Linked DNA regions of Elephas maximus indicus. The protein of the gene in region 1 binds, or shares a complex with, the protein of each later gene. Links are inferred from orthologs where the notes say so. Each region holds a gene or a part of one and is shown on either strand. Other genes may lie near its edges.

Region 1 (4,250 bases):
GGAGGTAGGCTGCTCTCCAGGCCTGGACAGAACACCTCCCGAGACCTAGGCACTCACCTGTCGAAGGCCTTCACACGGCCCAGGAGCTTCTTGTTGTTGCGACAGTTGATGAGCACTTGGGTATTGTTTTTGACTGACTGCGTGAGCACGGAGAGGGGCCCAGTGTTAAACTCCTCCTCCTCTCGCTTCTGCAGCTCTTCCGGGGTCATCTCACTTTTGGGCTTGTTGAGGAGGCTCCTGGATGTCAAGCACGAGACATGTGAGTGAGAGGGGCTGGGGCCAGAGCACGGGGGAATCACAGCCTAACCTTCAGTGGCTCCCCCAGCCTGGCCTCAACACACCCACCCTCCTATAGCTCAGTCCTCTCTCTTAGCATCACCATTTGGATGCGTGCTATGGACTAAATTGTGTCCCTCCAAAATATGTGTTGGAATTATCACAGGAACTCAGCTGCTAACCAAAACGTCAGCAGTTCGAGTCCACCAGCCACTCACTGGAAACCCTGTGGGGCAGTTCTACTCTGTCCTGTGAGGTTGCTATGAGTCGGAATTGACTAACAGCAACAGGATTTTTTTCTTTTTTTAATATCTGGGGATGTGATCATGTTTGGGAATAGGATTTTCATTTTGATGTTAATGAGGCCCTATCCTAAATTTAATCGGTTCTGAGTGATAAAAATAGCCAATTAGACACATCACCAAGGAACTGAGGAACACAGGGGCTACAGATCATCCACCAAAGGACTTCTAGCCTCCTGAGCTATGAGAAAATAGATTTCTGTTTTTTAAAGCCAACCACTCGCGGTACTTGTGTTACTGCAGCATGACCTAACTAGAACGATGCCTAATAGGCATTCCTAACATTGCATGTCCCAGGCTGTGCAGCAACCACAGCTCCTCCATCTCTGTTGATGGCAACTCCATTCTTCTGGGCAAAAAACTCAAATGTCAACTTAGCTCCTCACTTCCTCTCCTAACCTACATTCCATCTGTTAGCAAATCCTGTCATCTGCCTCTAAAATACATGCAGAATCTGACCATTTCTTACCACGGTTACCACCCTGACATAAACCTCCAGCATCTCTCCCCTAGAATCTTACTGGTTTCCCTTCCTCAACCTCTGCTCCCTGGCAGTCTGTTCTTCACAGAGCAGCCCAACGGCTTGTGTTAAGACTAAGTCATTCTTCGAAATCCTTCCATGGTTCCCATCCCAGTGTAAACCTGATAAAAAAAAACCTGATGCCATCGAATCGGTTTCGACTCATAGTGACCCTACAGGACAGAGCAGAACTGCCACATCATTCTCCCTTGAAGTAGCTGAGAGCTTTGAACCACCGACTTTTTGGTTAGCAACGGCAGAGCGCGTAGCCACTGTCCTACTGGTGCTCCTTCATCTCAGTGTAAGAAGTAGAAATGCAGTTTTTGCAATGCCCTATATCTGCAACACCCCCATCCTGCTCCAGCCACAATGGCCTCCTGGGTGGTCTTTGAAGATATTAGGCAAGCTTTCAGTCTGGGGTCTCTGCATTTGCTTTTCCCCCTGCTTGGATCCCCCCCCAGATATCTGTGTGGTTTCCTGCCTCACTTTCCTCAAGTGTCATCTTCTCAATGTGGCCTTTTGTGCTAGTTATTAAGTTAGGCGTTCTTCATTTTTTTTAACCTGTTCTACTCTGAAACACATGAGACTGCCATGAATTGGGATCGACTTGATAGCCAACGGGTTTGGGTTTTTTTTTTTTATTGCTTCACCTAACACAACATATACTTTACTTGTTTACTATATTTATTGCCTGCCTTTCCCCTCATAAGCTGCACCCGGGAAGACATTTTTTCTGGGGGGAGGGAAGTTTCTATTTTTTTCACTGACACACTCCAGGTATGTAAAGCAGTGCCTGGTACGTAATGAGCACCCAATAGATATTCGGTGAGTAAAATCAGTCCCAGTGATCCAATATCCATAAAAGTCGCGAATCAGGCTGAAAAGCCGCATGTCTCTAGATCAAATCATCCAGCTAAGTCTCTCATCTCAAATCGTTACCCCTAAAAGGCCGCACTCGCCTCCTCCAAGTTCCTTAATCGTAGAACCACTTCCTCTTAGTATTTATTTCAACAAGACTAATTACCTGGGAAAGGTCCCAGCCCGTTATCTGATAAAGCAGTCCCCTCTCCCGAACTCATCTGTAAAAGGCCCCGTTCCCGTTCTCACATCCATCAAAAGTCCTCCATAAAATTTCTGCTTTTGCCCCCGACTCGTTATCAGGAAAGGGCCCTCTCACCCCCTTCCAACCGTTAATCGGCCAAATTTACACCCTCAACCCCACTCCCGCCGCCTAGTACGGGCCCGGCCTCACATGGTGCCGGCTGCGTTCTCAGGACACTCCTGTCTCCCCCGCGTTGCTTCTGCCTCTGAAAGGAGAGGCGGGACTTCCGCTTCCTGCGGCCCACTTCCGTCAGCGCCTGCGCAAACTCAAGCAGCGGATGGGGCGTGGCCTGTTGCTATAGCGATCCCCGCTAGCTGTGCTTAGTGATGGGATAAAAGCCTTGCTCAGAGGTTCGAGACCACTCAGAACCATTCGGGGCAAATCTTCACAACGATGAAGGGAAAAACAAAGGTGGTCTGACTCGAACCATTTCGCCGTATAACGGGATAGGCTAAAGGAAGGCAGCGAAACAGCGTTTCCAAATACCCGCCGGTCCGGCCTTCGGGGGCGCGGCCTCCGCAAAACCAATCCGCTCCTGGCTGCAAGGGTGGGTCCCGCCCCTTTTTCCTCAGGGACGGTTCATTTTCGCGTCCATCAATTTCTTCGACTCAGCACAACCAATCCGTTGCCTACATCCGGAAGGGGCGCGGACCTGCACCGGAGAGATCGAAAGTTTTCCAAGATTGAACCCTTGCCATTGGTTTCCCCTCCTCTGCCGAGGCGGAGCCTAGCCCTTTCGGTCTCCCTTTTGGGCTGTGCAACGCTCCGGGGAGCCAATTCTGCCAAGGGAGACGGGGAGGCGTGTCCTCGGACCGAGAGTTCCCATTGGTTCCTCTGCTCGCCAGGGTGGGATAATACCGTCGCTGTGGTTGCTCATTGGTCCTCCTACTGCATGGGGGGCTGGTCTTGGCTGGGCCTGAACTGGCGGCTCCGCGGTCCAGGACCGGGTTGCCTGGCAAAGCTGCCATGCGTTCCGGGAGCCGTGGGCGGCCCCGGCTACGGCTCGGGGAGCGCTTCTTGGAGCCCCCCTCACCGCCCAGGCGCCGCCTACTACCGCGGGCGCGGCTGTTGCCCCTGCTGCTGCTGGCGTTGGCCGTGGGCTCAGCGTTCTACATCATCTGGAGCTGCTGGGACCACAGCACCGGGGAGCTGCCGCTGGGCCAAGAGCTGCGGGTGAGGCCAGGCGCGGGGCCCGGGCTCCTCGGGGGCCCTTATTCCCCGCCGACCCTTCTCCAGGGTCTCGGGTTGACTGACGTGGCCTTATGGTGTGGCCCTAACCGCAGGTGCCACGGTCTTCGTCTTTCGAGCGCATGCACCTTTCCATCGGAATAAGGTTCCGGGTTTGTTTTGTCATTCTGGCTCCCCCTTAAGTGGAAGGGCCTGGAGTGGTAAGACTGAGCGTTGGGCGACTGAGCTCTAATCCTAAATCAGCTGCCTGGAAGATAACCTTCCTCTCCCTGGCCCTTGATTTCCCCATCAGGATTGGGGTGGGCTGGACCAGATGGACATCAAGGGACTTTTTTCCTGGGGCTAGGATTTATCCTAGAAGCCCCTGATGCTTATGAAGAGGTACCAGGCTCCTAGGGGGAAGCGGCGCCTGGGGTAGGGTCGGAGTGGGAATTGCTCTCATGTTCTGCACTTCTCTACCCTTCCCCCTACCAAGGCCCCGGTGATCGGAAGCCTCTCTGAAGCTCGGCTTCGGAGGGTGGTCGGGCAACTGGATCCGCAGCGTCTCTGGGACGCTTATCTGCGTCCCTTGTTGGTGGTGCGGACCCCCGGCAGTCCCGGCAATCTTCAAGTCCGAAAGGTACAGGACTGAACCTCCAAGCCCTAAGCTCCACAGCCCGCAGGGGAATGAATTGGGAACTGAGCATCGTGCCATGATCACAAAGCAGCTAAGGGTCAGAGGTGGGGCTCTGACTGGAGATGATCTGACTCCAGTCCCAATAGAATGTACTACCCCCATCAAAAGCTTACTATATGCCAGGCACAAGCAACAGCCCTACGAGGTGGGTACCAATAAATATGATCTTTATTATGCAGATGGGGA
Region 2 (4,250 bases), on another chromosome or scaffold:
GTGGGGGAGCTCCCTCCCTTGGTGTTCCCTATAACTCTGCCAGTGCCTTTGGTCTATTCTACTTTCATAGGGTACCTAGCCTCAGCTCTGTTTCGAGATGTGGCTGGGTCCCCCCCAAGGGCCTACCCAGAGCCTTCATGCCATCTGAAGGGGGAAAGGACTTTCAGTGGAGGTGGGGAAGGAAGTAGACAACATGAAGGGCAAAGACCTGCTTCTGACAGACTTATTAATAGGGCACTGAGCTGCATGCAGCTGACGCTTGGCATGACGTTGGTAGAAGGTGGGGAGGGGTTAGAATTATGGGGTGCTGTGTACCTTGTAAGGAAGGAGTGTCTAACCTGAGAACGAACAGATTTCATATCCTGAGATGGGACAATGAACCAGACTTGAGGAAAGTTAGGCTCCCAGCACCTGTTGTAGTTTATTTGTGAACTGAATGGGGAAAGAGGGTATCAGTCCAAGGGGAGATCAGGGGGTTCCTCCTCATCAGAGTCAAACTCAACATTTTCATCTTTCACCCATCGACCCTGTCCATCTGGGATCCATCCAGAGCTGGAAACATCAGAGTAAACAGAACTGGTCAGAATGAGGATAGGAGGTTTATTAAGAAGTTAGTAGGGATGAGAAAAAAACTCAGTAGGTTTGAAAAAAAGGCCAGAGAGAAAAGAGCAAATGCGAGGGAAGTGATTCGGCATACTTACCTTCGAAGAGTGAGGTAACGATCCAGGGCTTGTCTTCTCGTGGGGCTCATGGGTACAGGGGCTGGGACAGTTGCTGATTTCTTGGCCTGTGGACCTGTTTCAGGCTCAGATTCCCTGCTGATCTTCCGACTTTGGAGTTCAGCCTCTGCAGGTGGCAAACGGGAATGGACGACGGAGGGACCAGGGGCTTCTGGTCTGGGTGGAGAAGGATTGAAGTCTGTAAAAGTGGTAAAGGAAAGGGCCAGCTCTCCTGTGACTCCCAACCCCTTAATGCAGCGTTTTCTAAACCATGTTCCTCAAGCTATTAATGAGAATTGTGCATAAAAAGGATTTTGAAGTCAAATGAATTTGGGAAAGCCTAGGTTAAACAAAATTTTTAAAGGTTTTTTTTTTAATTTCAAGACTTTGTAGAGCCCTTAAATATGCTAATATCACTATGCTTAAAGTAGAATTACAAAGCGCCATATCCCAAACTTTATTTGAAATCACGAAAAAATTTTTTTTTCCTGGAATACCAATTAGCATCTTCAGAACATAGTATTCCTCAGGATACGATTGGGAAGACAATAATTTTAGAGCCATCTATCTCCCACTGTCCCTCCCTACTGATTCCCATACTAGTAGTTCTTTTCCACCCACTGTCTCCATCTTTTTATGTCCCTAACCAATGTGAAAGACCTTTCACTGTTATTCCCCTATTCTTAATTCCTCCTAATACAGCAACGTGCCGTGAGGAAAGAATAGCCTTCTAAACAAATGGTGCTGGGACAACTGGGTAATCCTCATGTAAAAGAATGAAGTTGGACACCCCCCGCCACCTCATACTGTGTACAAAAATTAACTCAAGATGGATCAGGGACAAATTTAAGAGCTAATACAGTAATGCTATCCTTTCCCTATTTCCCATGCTCAAGTCATATTTTTCTCTGGCTTTCCCATCCCACAGACCTGTACTTCCGGCGGCAGCAACTGTTATAGTGGGGAGCTCTGTGTAGAGCACTCTGAGTGATAAATCGAGTCTGGGCCAGCAGAGGAGCCTGGTATGGGGATAGGGGAAAAGAATCAGAGCCATGAGAGCTAGAGAGAAGCCAAAGCCCTTCAAGCCTGGGGTGTGCAGCAGGGTCTTGTCTGGGACACACCTTTCCCGCTCTGATTACCTCAGCTTTGTTCTCCTCCCTCAGTTCATTCTGCTGTCTTGGATTCTGCTCCATTCCCTTTCCTGGCTGCTTCTTGCCATAAAAACGCTGCAAGCCTGAGGAGTAGGGGGGAGGGAATTAAAAGCAAAGCGCTAAGACTGGTCTGCAGAGGTTTCAAGGGTTTACACTCTATCCCATGCACTCTTTTAAACTTACTGGACAGATGTTTCTTCCCTGCACGATGGGCAGTCAGCATGGCCAGGGTGTCCAATACAGGCCGGTGAGGGCAGATGGCACAAGCAAAGCTGAGGAGGGGTAAAGAAGACAGTTGGTACAGGGGTAGGAGTGGGAGGTCTGCTGTAGGTTCCATCCTGTCCTAGTAGTCCTTTCCAAAGCCCTACTCCCAGTTCTAACCTCCACCGCCCACATCCCTGTCTCTTCCAGTCTCTCACTCTCTGCCAAAGAATTTTAGATACTCCAGAACTCCCCCATAATAACAAAAGCTTATTGAGCCTCCAACCGCAGAACTCTCAGGCTTGAATCCTTCCTCGCCCTCACCGTCCATCCCGTAGCATCAGCGCCTCATCCTCTGGGATATAACTGGCCAGCAAGTCCCCGACTCTTCGTTTCTGGAGGGAGTAAGGGAACAAATCCGAACGGAATAAGCGGGACAGGAGGCAGAGATGGAAGGGAAAAATGATAGAGACGAGGCATCAAAGGGAATAAGGTCCATTGGAAACAAGCGATCATAGGGCGAAGAAGAGGTCTAGGAGCCTGACTCCCTCTCGCCCCTCATCCCTCCGAGCTGTTTCCAGAGCAACGAAACAAAGCTCTTTCAGAGTTTTCAGAGGGTGGCTGAAGCTGCTCCAGACCCTCTACTTTCGCGCTTACTTTGAGTACATTGAGTTGACTCCAATCGTCTCCTTCTCTCTTGAAAGACATCGCGACTGTCAGCCTCAGAAGCAACAAATTCGCGGTACCAAATTTTTCACTCCCTTCAGGCCACCGTAGCGGTAGAGGGGTGTCTCCTCGCCCTCTGCCTGTCTTTTCCGGTTGGCCTCGTTACTTCCGGGGTGTGCTTCCCCGCATGCATTGCGCGATTCTGAAAACACTGTTCTTGCGCAAAGGGGACTGCTTTTCCTATGGTGCCCTGCGACCCCGCCGGCGCGAAGCCTCTTGGGAAATGAAGTCTTTTCTCAAAGAACTTGTCGCCCGGCTGGAAGCAGGCCCTTGAATCTCGGCAGATTCGAAGCATTTGAAGAGACAAGAACCTATATGTGGAGCTGATGCTTGAACCCGAATTTAAGACCGATCTGATGCGGAGTAGGTCCTTAAGGATCGATGAGTGGATAGTGGACTACAAACTCTCCAACCACCCGCTCTTCATCTGCGACGTCAGCTCACCTAGGGTGGGCCCGGCTCGTTCCAGACCCTAGGGGATCAACCCCGGGACGGGGCGGAGCTGGGGCGAAGGGGGGTCGGGAGCCCGGGCTGCCCGGCTGTGGAGCAAACTGAGGAAAGGGTGTTGAGGAAGGTACCTAGAGTTCCAAGGTCAAAGGTCAGTGTAGCGAGGAGTTGTGGGGTTCCAAAGGGAGACTTTGGTAGAGACTGAATACCCAGGGGACCAGATTTGTGGAAAAGGGACTTGGAGGGAGAAAAAGCGAGGGCAGATAATATCTGTCTAGAATATCCTAGGTCCCTAGGGGAGGGAGGGGAGGAGTGACGGGGGCGGGTGGAGGTTCGGGGAGTGAAGAGGAGCTGAGGTCGGGGCGGGGGGAAGGGAAGATTTAGGAGAGAAGGGGAAGGATCTCCCTGGATATCCATTCCCAGACGCCGGCCCGTCACTGTCCATCACTTAGCCGGTCCTCCCTCAGTCGCAACCGGAGCTGTCAGCAGGGTGAGGAGATGGCTTCTCCCTCTAGACAGCCCCCCCTCGGGGGATCAGGACTGCTTCAAGGGAGCCGGGCTCGTTCTTATGGAAGCCTGGTGCAGTCCGTCTGCTCCCCAGTGAGGGAAAGACGCCTGGAGCATAAACTGGAACCTGGAGACACTCTGGCTGGACTAGCACTCAAATACGGGGTGACGGTGAGTCTTCCAAGACTAGGGTGCTGACAACCAGTTAGGAGAGAATGTCCTGAATGCAGTGACCCCTCTAAGTAACTTTTCCAGGATTTTTCCTAATTGGGGCTGTGTCTGTTCTGGCTTTAATCTGTTTGTTTGTTTTCCCTTGTCAGTGTTGCTCTCTCTGGTTGGGGCAAATCCTGCCCCACTACCTTAAAGGAGAGGAGCAGCTACTACTTTATTGAAGCCTACTCTATGCCAGATAATATACTAGCTGCTTTACATGTATCATCCCATTTGATCCTCACATCCCCTCTCAAGTATACAATTATTGTTCCCTTCTTGCAGATAA
Region 3 (4,250 bases), on another chromosome or scaffold:
TCTGCTCTCCTTCAACATTTATCTCTGCACTAGCCTCCTTTAGCTGCACACTGTACTTCATTGTCCTTCTGGTCTCCTAATCAGGTCTCGCTTTTTCGTCCTTCCCGCACTGCTCACATTCCACCAAATCACAGACCAGCTCTCATAGGCTTTCCCCCAGTGTTCTTACACAGAATTCTGAATCATTCCTGCTTGCACCTACATTTTTGTCTTTTTCCACCCTAGACCAACAAGAATCGTACTTCTCTCACATCTCTCCGCTGTCGTCCCTTCATCCTGCTTTGGTTCCAATACACACAAATAGCATCTTCCTAACCTCTGGTAACTGACTGAGGCCTCCAAATAGGGCATGACCAACACCAGACACAGATCTGTAGCATCCTAGGGCCTGTAGTCCAAGTCTCTTCCAAGATACAACCTGAGGCTTTGAGGCCACCGTACATATACAAAATGGACTAAAGGGCCCATACTCATCTGAGCAAGTGGCCTGACTGGTTAAGAGAAACAAGCGTCCTGTACAGCCTTTCACTCAGAATGAAGGCCAGCAAGCACATCAGAAACCACATGAACTTTAGATACATAATGCTCTAATACTTCACCTCCCAGATAAGAGGCCACTTCCTTGATTCTAAATATTCATAGCTCCTCTCCACTGTCCTGATTGATATTTTCTTCCCTTAATTTCCTTCTCAATAAGATTTCTCATTTGATTGGTAATTCTCTCCAAATCTTACTAAAAAACCAGTCGACTCTAGCTCCCATTAAATACTACCTGTTTTCAATTCAAATTCTATTTAAATATATCAAACTAGTCACTGTTAAAACTACTCTCACAGCTTCTCTACCCTATTTGCCCTAAACCCACCAATATTCTCTACACTTCACTTTCAGTCATACTAACCCGTCCTTGGCTTTCACTACCGATACCCTAAATGTCACTTTCTGGTTATTCTCTTATAAGCCTCACCTTACCCTTTCTCCTGTTACTCCTATGCCTCCCACCCCACGCATGACCCTAAAGAGCGCCAGGCCCCCATTTTTCTACTCAGATTTCTTAGCCACACATATTCCTGTCTCCTGCTGTATGTTACACTCTTCGTTCCTTTCTCTCGCCCATCCTCGCCAAGACAGTTTTACAAAGCATAAATGTGTGAGGGCAAACTATCACAGGAAAAGACCCAAGGCTCAGGCAAAGAAGACACATTAGGCAGAGGTGAGGAAAAGCAAATGAAATAATCAGATAAAAAAAGTTACACTTAAACTTCAAAACAAAGGATTATCACATGAATAACTAGAAAATGCACTAAAGTGGTAAGAGAAAAAAGGAGGAAAGATGCTGAAAAGAACGGAGATTCCAGAATGACCACTCAACCCAAGCAGCAGACCCAAAAGAATGAAGGAGGAAAAAAAGGAACTATACCAGGTTAAAGGAGGAACAGGTGAGGTCATTATCTAGGGAAAGCAAATGCAAATGCACAAAAAGATTAAACAAAAAAAACTTCCTTTACAGCACAGAAAATAGATGTTCTGCCTTCCAATCTTTATTTCTATTTTCTTAAATACCAATCCTTCCCACTCTCCACACCTAAGTCCTTCTTTCCTCTATGGCCTGCCTAAAATCTGCTGCTCCCTTAGAGAATGCTTCTGACCTGAAATTCTTCAGTTAACCATTCAGGCACACTTCCATACCACCTCACACAAAAATCCGCCCACTCCCTAGCAGCTGCTAAGTTGATAAGGGTATTACGGCACAACGAATTACAGAACTTTTAGGGGAGGAGCCAAAAAAGAAAAACCCAATACCATGGCATCCAAGGCAGCGCTCAAAACACTAAAAGGAAAGCAGCCATGCAAAGGGGAATATCAACCACACACATACAAACCACCACGCCACTTTATAAAACACAGATTCTTATAACTAGGTCCATAAATTGTGGATATGCAAAATGTACCCAAGGTACAGGCACTAAGTAAAAGCGAGCTGCAAAAACAGGAGAATTTTTTTCTGTGGGAAAATTATCGGGGTGCCAAATAAAAGAGGCAGAGGAAAAAACTAAAATTCAGTACAGGCACTCAAGAAGAGAAAATGCACCAAGAAGAGAGGCAGAATGCCCAAGAAAATGCAAGATACGGACAACACGCTCAGGGCTGGGGCATTACAGTGGCTGAGTGGGCTCGACAGAACACGATTACACAAGGAAAGACCACAGAACAAACTTTTAAATTTCTCGATCCAGAATACAGAGATGTGTGAGTAGTAACTGAGACTCTGTAAAAAAAAGACTCAGAAACGTTGCACCAAACAGTGCTTGAAGCAGAACGCCAGACCTCTCAAACAGATTCCGGCGTTTTCTCCACAACCAAGGACTGGACAGCCTCCCACGCTTTAGCACGAATTTGGAGAAGTGACGGAAAAAAAAAAGTGGAGAAAAAAGGACCACGCGGTGCGCACTCTATAAATCTAAGATCTGAGCTGAATACATGGGCTCTTCTAAAGTACGCCCCCCACCCCAAATACTCCATGGAAAATAGTACCCAGTCCACGCGCTGTGCTTCATGAGGCACTGTTTCCAGGCCCTACTGCGCCGTCTGGGCCGCCGAGGCCTATTTTCGGCCTCCCGGGGTGGGGGAGGGGGCGGCGCAGCGCCCCGCAGTCTAGGAGGAGTGGGATGAACCCGGGCCTCCCGGGGGGTCGGCGGAGCCTACCACCCGAGAGAAAAGCGGGGGAAAAAGACCGGGGGCGGGGGCAAGGACCTGGGGTCAGGCCCTCCGCCACCCAACCACCCGCACCTCAGAAACGCCGACAAGGCCCTCCCGGGCCGCACGCGCGGGCAGCGGCGAGGAACCGAGGAGCGCGCGCGCCCGCCGCGACCGGAGCGCGCGAGCACGAGGGCGGTCAGCGGCGCGCGCCGTTACCATGGGGGAAGAGCGGGGAGTCGAAGCCCGCGCGCAACAGGAGCCGCAGGAGGGGGGAGGGGAAGCAGGCAGGCTAAGACGTCCACACAAGCCGGGGGTGCCGAGAGCGCGTGCGCGAGGCGGCCTGGGCCGTTCTCCGCGCGCTTTGGCCTCGCGCCGCGGCCGCCCCTCCCCCACCCAGCTCACGCGCTCCCTCACCCTCTCACCCGCCGCCGCCGCCGCCGCCGCCGCCGCCTGCCTTTTCTGATCGGGAGAGGTCCCGCCGCTGCCGCTGCTCGAGCTCCCGAGTCCCCTGAGGCCCGGAGCCGCCGCTGCCGCCGCCACGCCTCGCTGGTCTGCCCGCCTCAGCCGATGCTGACGTCTCCTCGCTTACTCGGGCCGCAGCGGGCTCCAACTGCGCCACTGGTACCCCGCCTGGGCCGCGCTGCACGCGCTGCACGTCAGCACGACTCGCTCAGCGCGTCATCACGCAATCGCGCGCGTCGCAGGGCCCTCCGGGAACCGTAGTATGCCCCACGGCCTTGTGCGCTTGTGCCCAAATGCCACTGGGAAGTGTAGTTTCTTAAGGCCCCAGAGAGATTCAACCTTGAGGCCGAAAAACTGCGAGTTCCATCGGCCAGTGCGAGGAAGGCTGGAGACGTGTCCGTAGGCCTTCCACGGTTGGGAGGGTTGGGGGGCGGGGGCAATAATACAGAGCCTAGGGCCACAGCGACCGGCGGCCTTCGGCCGGGAGCATTCTGGGAGTTGTAGTTCCGGCGTGCCACAGAACCCGTATGTGGCTTGGCCTCGGAGCACGGCCGCCATTTTATGTTCCTATGTTAGGGGTGATGGTCGGAGCGCAGCGACTCTGATTCTTGCTTGTAACTATGGGCTGCAGACCCCAACCTTTTGCAGTTTTGAGAAGCTGCCTCAGACGCCAGCAGACAGGAGGAGACCCTGGGGAATAATCTTCTGTTGCCTCCCAGCTAGGGTGACCAGGCAGGGATGCAATTTTCTCATACTGAATCTGGGATGTTTTATATGTGAATGTGTACACACATAAGGCAGAAGTCCACAGGCTTCAGAAAATTCAAATGCTTTAAACAGCTTGCTTGGCCTGCCCCGTAAAAATCCTGGTGATGGAAAGGGCCACATGAACCAGCGACTACATCATCCTGAAACCAGGAGAACTAGATGGTGCCCGGCTACAACCGATGACTGCCCTGACGGGGAACACAACAGAGAACCCCTGAGGGAGTAGGATAGCAGTGGGATGCAGACCCCAAATTCTCATAAGACCAGACTTAGTGGTCTGACTGAGGCTGGAAGGACCCCGGTGGTCACTGCACCCAGAC

What was found.
Region 2: SNRPD2 (region 1) and SCNM1 share a complex: the UniProt entries of both Homo sapiens proteins name them as parts of the minor spliceosome. The link is inferred for Elephas maximus indicus from reciprocal best matches to the Homo sapiens genes SNRPD2 and SCNM1.
Region 3: SNRPD2 (region 1) and SRRM2 share a complex: the UniProt entries of both Homo sapiens proteins name them as parts of the minor spliceosome. The link is inferred for Elephas maximus indicus from reciprocal best matches to the Homo sapiens genes SNRPD2 and SRRM2.

The regions. Positions count from the first base shown.
Region 1 is NC_064829.1:103,949,884-103,954,133, reverse strand, and holds the start of SNRPD2 (small nuclear ribonucleoprotein Sm D2), read right to left. Parts: upstream 2,435-4,250; 5' UTR 2,353-2,434; coding exon 2,351-2,352; intron 238-2,350; coding exon 58-237; intron 1-57. Other genes in the region: QPCTL (glutaminyl-peptide cyclotransferase-like protein), read left to right, coding at 3,167-3,373, 3,864-4,007. UniProt on the Homo sapiens protein: Plays a role in pre-mRNA splicing as a core component of the spliceosomal U1, U2, U4 and U5 small nuclear ribonucleoproteins (snRNPs), the building blocks of the spliceosome.
Region 2 is NC_064821.1:185,197,605-185,201,854, reverse strand, and holds the start of SCNM1 (sodium channel modifier 1), read right to left. Parts: upstream 2,917-4,250; 5' UTR 2,780-2,916; coding exon 2,729-2,779; intron 2,467-2,728; coding exon 2,396-2,466; intron 2,143-2,395; coding exon 2,054-2,142; intron 1,954-2,053; coding exon 1,859-1,953; intron 1,739-1,858; coding exon 1,650-1,738; intron 897-1,649; coding exon 702-896; intron 553-701; coding exon 453-552; 3' UTR 1-452. Other genes in the region: LYSMD1 (lysM and putative peptidoglycan-binding domain-containing protein 1), read left to right, coding at 3,743-3,922. UniProt on the Homo sapiens protein: As a component of the minor spliceosome, involved in the splicing of U12-type introns in pre-mRNAs. Plays a role in the regulation of primary cilia length and Hedgehog signaling.
Region 3 is NC_064830.1:59,942,911-59,947,160, forward strand, and holds the start of SRRM2 (serine/arginine repetitive matrix protein 2), read right to left. Parts: upstream 3,238-4,250; 5' UTR 3,155-3,237; intron 1-3,154. UniProt on the Homo sapiens protein: Required for pre-mRNA splicing as component of the spliceosome. As a component of the minor spliceosome, involved in the splicing of U12-type introns in pre-mRNAs.